Xenopus tropicalis: one gene and its partner. The protein of the gene in region 1 interacts with the protein of each later gene in a pairwise test. Links are inferred from orthologs where the notes say so. Each region holds a gene or a part of one and is shown on either strand. Other genes may lie near its edges.

The links.
Region 2: the proteins of spdef (region 1) and nkx3-1 interact in a two-hybrid assay, tested with the Homo sapiens proteins (2 studies listed by BioGRID). The link is inferred for Xenopus tropicalis from reciprocal best matches to the Homo sapiens genes SPDEF and NKX3-1.

Annotation. Positions count from the first base shown.
Region 1 is NC_030678.2:69,241,379-69,245,816, forward strand, and holds the start of spdef (SAM pointed domain-containing Ets transcription factor), read left to right. Parts: upstream 1-1,383; 5' UTR 1,384-1,423; intron 1,424-4,306; 5' UTR 4,307-4,323; coding exon 4,324-4,438. UniProt on the Homo sapiens protein: May function as an androgen-independent transactivator of the prostate-specific antigen (PSA) promoter. Binds to 5'-GGAT-3' DNA sequences. May play a role in the regulation of the prostate gland and/or prostate cancer development.
Region 2 is NC_030679.2:127,288,750-127,293,352, reverse strand, and holds the start of nkx3-1 (homeobox protein Nkx-3.1), read left to right. Parts: upstream 1-1,542; 5' UTR 1,543-1,794; coding exon 1,795-2,026; intron 2,027-3,586; coding exon 3,587-3,990; 3' UTR 3,991-4,603.

The DNA of each region.
Region 1 (4,438 bases):
TATTATTTCACATAATTGTACTGAATTTTCTCCATTCTCCTCTGACTCTAAAAAAGTACTGATTGGTTAACTAGCTCCTGATGAAATTGATCCTAGTGTATGTGTTTTGTGAAGTTATGAGCAACTAAACTTTATCTTACCCACTATAAAATTTTGTGACATTATTTACCTTAATTCCCTGTGTAGAAATAGAAATTGTTTTGAATTTTGGCACTAGACTATATAAGCGTTGTGTACAGTAGTGTCAAAGTGAGGTCAAAGCATATATGAGCACCAAAAATTTTGATATCACAAAGGTGATCTCAGTTTATTAAACTGGCATTTTATCCTGCAATATTTCTGGCACAAGTCATTCTTAACTTCTATAGTATTGTAGTAAAAAATGCCTATGTGCAATAGCAAATAGGCTAATGAAGTTGTTGAGTGTTCTGTTCTATTTCAGATAATTTTGAGTCAAGAATTTTGTTACTTTATTTCATTTGGCTAGTAAATTTACAGGAAAGAAAGGGTGTGTGCTTAGTGCGCAAATGTGTATTTATAGTGATTATGAGATAATCATTAAGCACCCTCAAGCTATTAGGTGTCACTGTAAATTCTTTTCATTAGGCTTCATTAACATTGCGAGTTTTTCTGTGCTATACATTTTTGTTATTTCTATTTGAATGGGAATGCATAGTCTTTGCCCACCCACCAAAAACAATCATGAAATTTGCAAGTAATAAAGTGTATGGGAATGTTTAGTTGCTTATGTGTTACTTAAGGGTTAAGCGGGCAGGTCCTGCACCTGTTAGATTTGAGCACACACAGGTTGTGTTTACACAGGTACGGGACATTACTATATAAACTATGATGGTTCGACGAGAGAGCGAAAGGAACAGAGGCAGCCAGGTGAGAGTGTATAGAGACATCTGACAGAAATAATAGTGGTGGACAGTGTGAAGATGGGAGTCTGATTTTAAAAAAAGAAAAGAAGAAAGAAAAGGGCAGAACATAGGTGAATAAAATAGTAGTGATAGAAAAAGAGAACAAAAGAGTAAAGAAAATAGGTAAAGGGGGAATTTGTAAAAAATGCCAAGTTAGATAGATAAAAAGTAAAGGAAAAGTAAACCTAAAGGAAAGGTAAAACATGTGTATGATAGAAAGAAATTAAACATAGAGTGAAGTTAGAAGGAGGAAGAAAGACGAAGACATCACTTACTGGACACGTGTCTCTTCCAGGATTTAAAGCATCGTCAGCGAGAGACAGAGGGAGGAGAGTGGAGTTAGAGGAAAAGAGGAGGGAGAGCAAAGGAAAGAGAGGGAGGTAGAAAGTAGAGAGAGGTAGAAAGTAGAGAGAGGTGACAGTGGCAGTAACAGTGGTGTCATAGAGCTGCCACATATGTCCAAGTAACATCCTACAAGTGAAACTTCTCATAACAGACAGGTAATGTTTAAACATTCTGTAAGATTTAAGTCATGTTATTTGTTTTGTGCTATACTAACAAAGTTGCTGGACTTATAGGTTTTGTGCTGTGAAATAATGTTCATGTCCTATAGCAAATTATGTTTTGCATTTAAGAGGTTTTATATTGCATGTTTATGTCAAATATGGGTAATTTTCTGGGTATTAGAGGATAAAAGGTGGAGATGTATTTTGGGATTTTTGTGAAGGTCCTTATCAGTTTATTTCTGCAGGGTTGGTCCCATTAACTTAGATCCCATAATCTGAGGTAAATTGTTTTAGGTTTCTGTGTGTGGTAAACCTTCTTCAAGAAACAGAGTTATGTATTAGACTGACACAGTCAAAATAGCAACAACATGCACTTTTAATTGTACTACTTTTAATTGTATGAGTATCAAAATTACAGTTTTATATATGATGGTGTGTGAAATTACCTTATTACAAATTCATCTTTATATCTATGTACAAAACACAAAAGAAAAACCTTTTTAAAAACCTCAAACTTTGATGAGCCTTGTAAACTATGGAAACTTGGGCTGCCATAATAAAAGTCAGTATGGTGCTGTAGCTTTAAAGTCTGTAAGGCTAACCTAAAGTTGCAAAATAGTTTATAGAACATAGCAGTGGTGGCATTTCTTTATAATCAATTGCATGGAGTTCAAATACTTATTTCTAACTATAAAAGCTTAAAAGAAAGGATGCTATAAAACAGCCTCAGCATTAACATTAGAGGGACAATAAAACAAAAAGGGGTCTATAGATGAAGCAGCAACTTAGGCAGGTGACTCTGTCAATGTGTGTCCCTGCTTGTGATTCTCTGTGTCACCATGTCCTTGTGGAAAGAACACTCTGCTCTGGGCTCATTCGCATTTGAATGTGTTCCAAGGAATTCTTTTTGTATTTTTATTGTGTTTTTACAAAACAAATCCTGTCCATAAGAATGCAAAGGTATAGCTAGTCTGTTCATACATCATTGTATTTGTTAATTTGATTTTCTTGTTTGTCATAAATAACTTTTATTTTTCTCTGTCAGTTCTTCCCCTTTCATTGCTATGTTCCCCTTTCATAAGCTATGTTCATATACTCTTGGTACCATAAATATTAAAGCTTTTATAGATTAACTTTATATATTTTATATTTAATCTGCACCTATTTGTCATGTTACAATTACTTGCCTTAAAATATCATGCATTCTGATTGCAAGGGGTTATATCTATCACAAAGTTACAAGAGAGTTCTTTAAAGTATTGACATTTTCATACACATTGGATATAAAGTAGTCCAGCTAACACTCTGTGGGGATAAACCATCTGACCTTAGAACAGTCAAGGGAATCATTTGTCTTGGCTTCCCCATTCTCCACAGTTTCATCTCTTTGAGAGAGTGGTCCCTTTAACAGGCTTAGATGTTCCTTTATCTCTGCTCAGCCACTGGAATATATGGGATTTAAAAATTTTAATCACCACTTAGCAACATATATAGGATTTAAAACACAAAAAGCACTCACCATGTAGTGTTTTATTCTCTCGGTTTTTGCAACATTGCCTAGGTTGTAAAGATGATTAAAAACGTAAATAAAAGTGAATCCATTTTGTGCAGTGTTTAAGAACTGAGCCACTGAAGCTAAGTGAAGTACAGACACTGTAAAATGTAGGATGAATGTTATACGTGGTTAAAGGAAAACTAAAGCTGAACAAAGATTTAGGCTACAAAATGCTACACCTTATGTTTTGGTATTTCATACCAGCCAAAAGCCCAGCACAACCCTTATCAATGAAGATCTGTGCCTCTGAATATGCCTCTTTCCATCTTCTTTTTTTGCTGAATCACAGAATATGCCCTGGGCTGCTGTCAGTCAGCTTAGGGAGCTTAGGGACGTAGTCATAATATACAGCAGGGGTCCCCATCCTTTCTTACTTGTGAGCCACAGTCAAATGTAAAAACACTTGGAGAGCACAAGCATCATAAAAGTTCATGGAGGTGCCAAATAAGGGCTAAGATTGGCTATTAGGTAGCCTCTATGCACACTATCAGCTTACAGGAGGCTTTATTTGGTAGTAGTTTTTATTTAACCAAAACTTGCCACCAAGTCAGGAATTCAAAAATAATTAACTGTTTTGGGGTTGGTGAGCAACATGTTGCCCACAAGTCACTGGTTGGGAAACACTTATATACAGTATATGTACAGAGTAGCTTCATAGATAATGGAAGAAAATTTTGAAAGTAATACTAATAATTCAGAATTAAAAGACAGCAAATGAACTAGTGCACTAGTGAACTAGCGTAATACTGATACAGGCATGGGACCTGTTAACCAGTATGCTTGGGACAAGGGGTTTTCTGAATAAGGTATTTTTCCATAGTTTGCTTCTTAACAGCTGCTCAGAGCACACTTTAGCAAACCCCTGTGCGCAAACACAAGGGGGCAAGAGTGTGCCCCTTTGTGCTCATCTGTGAAGCACTTACTTCCAGGGATGTGTTGATCTCTGCATGGAGTGCCAGATCAAAAATGGTGCAGCCCTCTCTTTACCACCAGTCTCAGGGCTGTACCTTGGGCCTCTGACTGTTGCATATAAATGGTCCCTAAAGTGTGTGCAGTGCCATTGGCACTTAAAAGAATGTCCTAACAATCTAAAATGTGGAGAACTTTGATGGTATGCATCATTTCTGTTATTGGATTCCCTAACCAATGAACTTGTATAGAAAGTTTAGTATTTAAAATACAGCGTGTGTTTAAGCTTTAGTTCTCCTTTACACTAAGACATTTAGGACCAAACATAAGGTAATGTGAAAGAGAAAGAGGGTTGTTTAGAATTTGAGCTATATTATAAGCAAAGGTTAAATATTTTTCTATCCATCCCACAGATATTGCCACCTCTGAAATGGGCAGTAATAGTGCAAGCCTTCCTCCTGTTACTCACTCTAGACTGGCCCTACAGGATTCAACCCTCACTAGTTTGGACAAAGCATCCGAGGAGGGTGCACAAGGGTACTTCC
Region 2 (4,603 bases), on another chromosome or scaffold:
GCCAATAACTAATGATAGCTGTAACCAGAAAAGCATTCTGGGGAATGAATACATGTTATAGGCACTAAACCATTTGCACCCGAGCAGACAATTTTTCCCTCCCACCATGAGAAATAGCAACTGGGTGGGTTCTGGGTGGTATCTACAAGTTACTGGGCCCCTAGTGGAATCATTTTAGGACCCCACTATACTTCGGTAATAAAACATATTTAAACATATACTCAAGCTGTTTTATAGTCAGTCTCCAACCCTCACAATGTCTGCTTCTCCACATAGTGAACTACAACTCTCAGAGCATGCTCACTAATCATTGGCTAACAGAAATTGCTGGGAGTTGTAGTCTAGAACAGTTCAACTGGCTAAAGCAGAAGGAAATCTCAAGCATGTGCCTAGGACACAACGGTGTGGGGGCAGGGGGGGGGGGCGTCATTATTGAGCTGGGGGGCTGTTTGGGCCTCTGTATACTTGAAGCGCCAGGGCCTATTTTGAATCCCAGTCCAGACCTGGTATGAATTGCAGGGCAGTGACATACAGAGAAGTTACTAAACCTCACAGCAAAATCATTCTAAGCCCCTCTACCTTTTGTGAATAAGACCTTTCTTATTAATCTAAATTGACACACTGGCTTGGGCCCCCCAGAATTCACAGGGACAGCTCCCTCTATAGTTTCACCTCTGGTGCAAGGGTTGCAACTGCACTAGGGTATGCAGGGACCAATGGTCCATACTATGATATACCAGAATATAGAGTTGATGTGACAAATGATTATTTGGGATGAGCACGGGGGGACCTTTGTATATGACAGGGGTTTCTGGGAAATGTAGTCTAGCTGTAGCTAGAGTGATACCTGCCAACCCTCTAATTAACTGGAGACTGGCTGGATTCCTCATTGGTTCTTCTATTTACTAGAATGTATGTATATACAATGAGAGTACACTGGGCTTGGCTTCATTCATCCAAATTAAATCCATAGCAGATTTACATGGAACAGGAAGTGTTTACCCTGTAAACAAACAGTACATGGATGTGCAAGAATGAGTGAGAACCACTAATGTGCCAGTGCCTGAGGACTCATTAAGCCCATTATGCTGCTAATGATGACAATTACTGTGTTAGTTAAACCCGCTTAGTCTGATAATCACCGAGTGGCTGCAGTTGCCTTTCTGGTACCAATATATATAGTGCATGTGAATGGCATCCAAGCTGTATATTTTATATGTGTTAACAAAACTATATATATATATATATATATATATATATATATATATATATATATATATATACACACATACATACACTTGGATAAATATATGGGACTGGTAGACTTATGAGAGAGCACAAAGCAAGTTTCCAAGCAGTGTCTTGCACAGTAGCTGTTCCAGCAGGGGAGGGGAGATAAGGATTTGGTGATTCCTCCCCTGGGTGTAACATAAGCTGCTGTACCTGTGTGGGGCAGTCTGTGGGAAGGCAGGGGTGTCAGCCTGGCCAATCAGAAGAAGGCTGGCTTAATACTGGGGAGCTATATGTACTGGAGATGGAGAGGCCAGTAGAGAGATGAGAGAGCAGAGGGCAAGGCGCATTGGTGGGCAAAGTTAGGGTAGCCAGCAGCATAGAACTTACCCACACTCCACCTAAAAAGCCATTTATTATTTTCTATACTTCTGTTTATTACCTGTTATTCCAGAAGTCTAAAACATAATTTAGAAGGTTATTTCCCCTAGCCTGTTTTACCCAGGACAACCTTGCACAATCAGGGTAGGCACCTTATACCCCAGCCCAGAGCACTTAGCGAGGATGTCTCAACAAGGAACAGAAGACCTGTCCCTTCCTGCCAAGCCACTGAAATCCTTCCTCATCCAAGACATTCTGTCACATATAGGACCTGGGAGAAAGGAAAAAAGCCTGGACTCCCCAAAGACAGACCAGGACCAGGATTCTTCCTTGGGGGGCAAGAAGGAGAACTGTACCCCAGAAAAACAACAGTCATCGTCCCAACCTGCAGAGATGCACCACAGCCAGATGGAAGGTCAGTGCAAAAGTTTATATGTCAGGATTATTGACATGAAGGATAACTTACCTTTAGCCATTCCACATAGATGAGCTGGGATGAGTAGTCCTGAACCTGTAGGGAGGTTTGTGCTGGTAACAAGTGATGGGTATATGAGATATGAGATGATACTGTAGCTGAGTACATAGTTAGTTGTTGAGGTTACTTTTAGCCCCAATGTATTATAGTGCTTAAGCTGGTTAGCTCCCCTTGCAGCCTCAGTTTGACTTGTTACCCTATCTTGGAAAGCTTGGTGGCATATGTTCTAATTATGACCCATACAAACAAATGGGTAACATTACTAGCACTGTGTCCCGGTTTTTACAGAATAACTGAAGCTGCAAATGGGCTGATTGAGGTCATTGCTATAAAGTTATCCCCTGCCAAGACTTCCTTTCCTCCTGCTGGGTCCCAGAGTGGAAACAAATGTTTGCCAAGTGGCACCGCTAGAAGCCTAGTCAGGGGTCAGAACACTGCTTGTTGGGAGTCCAGGATGTAGAAATACTTATTAAAATGTAAGATGTGTGGTTACCCTCTGCATTAGGTTTTATTATTACTTCATATTAGAATAGAGCTTTCTGGAGCATTGTACATAAATCTAACTTCCTGTTGTTGTTGAACTACAGCCGTTAACACGTGCCCCTTCTTCATTTTATATTGTGTAGCTCATTAATCAAAGGAACCTATTTTAAAGCAATGTATTAAGCCTTATTGACAAGGTCAAAATAATCTTTCTAGGGCAAATGAATTATGCAAAGCCCATGCAATGCTTATGGGATGTGTCCCAGTGATATGTAGGTAGCAATTGGAGCTAAACATATTTTTACAAATAAATATATATATATATATATATATATATATATATATATATATATTAATAATGCAAAACAGTCAGGACCCCTACTGTGCCCTTCTGTCCCCCTGTAGTTATTGGATATGCTCTGTTTCTATGCCCCTGACTATGGACCAGCTTGTCTCTGATATCTGTATCCTATCTTTGTAATAAGACTGGCCTATGCTTATAATACACAAAAGGCTGTCTTGTACAATATAGTGCTTAATGATGTCATCAGAAATGGCACTTTCAGTGATTCCACTTGTGTAACATGAACTATTAAAGCTTGTGTATTATTACAAAATACTTATATACCCCTATTTAGAATTCCCCTCAGAGTTCTGTGACCTGTATAGAAGCACTGGCCTACAGGTTTTGGTCTCAGGTCACAGAACTTCTTTACGGTGACTTAGATTGTAAGCTTTACGGGGCAGGGACCTCCTTCCTACTGTGTCTCATACCACATGGCACTTACTCCCTGTGTATTTATACTTATTTATTGTATTTATTATAACACTTTTCCTTCCTGTGTGTAATTCTGTATATTTTAAGATTGTACAGCGCTGCATACCCTAGTGGCGCGTTATAAATAAAGTTATACATACATACATACTTCTAATAGCCTAATATTTTGCAATAGAATAGCAAATCATTCTTAGATATATTTCTTTTATTGACTCTTCCCCTTCCTCATCTTTCATCAGATGAAAATGTGGAGCTAGACCAAGCTCAGCCAATATCCCCGGTGGAAAAGAAACTAAAGCTGCAACAGAAACGATCCAGAGCTGCCTTCTCCCACTCTCAGGTCATAGAGCTGGAAAGAAAGTTCTCCAGCCAGAAGTACCTGTCTGCTCCAGAGAGAGCCCAGCTTGCCAAGAGCCTGAAACTGACCGAGACCCAAGTAAAGATCTGGTTCCAGAACCGGAGGTACAAGACCAAGAGGAAGCAGCTGGCCACTGATATGGAGGAGGTAGAGAAGTCCTCAGCTCACCCTGTACGGAGCAGAGACACAGACATCAGCCGAGCTTCACTCCTCAGCTTTTACCAGAACTATCACTGCTACCCCTACCTGTATTACCTGGCAGGGTGGCCCACGCCTCACTGGTGACCTCATCCTTAGGCTACTGGGACTTTCTAAATTATAATATATTTTTCTATTTTAAAACTAATTTTGATACCTTGAAATCTAGCTAGACAGGACTTGTAGCGGGATGAATAGCTATTTAATACTTATACCTTGCACTAAAGGACAATAAAGCCACCTACGATTGGCTGCAATAAGACATTGACTTGAAAACACTTGTTGCTTTTAGTGGAAGATCGCAAATCTATTGTTTCTATATTGCTATTGTTGAGTAATAACTCCCAGCATTCCCTTAGAGTGTTCGCACATAGGGGACTGTGGGAGCTGTGGTTTAGCCAAAGCTTTAAGGTCCCTGCTGGGATTGAGAGTCATTGCTACAAGAGGGTCATATTAAAGTGGTGGGATTTAAGTAAAGGTAGATGTCAAGGCCCCACAACATTGCCTACATGACCTGAAAATCCTAAGATTGGCACATGGGTATCAATGACAAGGACAATCTTATCAAGCTTTGATCATATAAGTAGATCCTAAAACCTGTTCTGTGAGCTCTGACATTTGGGGATCTATGGATTAAGGGCCGCAGACTATAAATCCTTGTCCAATTTAGTGTCATCAGCTTAATCTCTTTCTGTAAGGG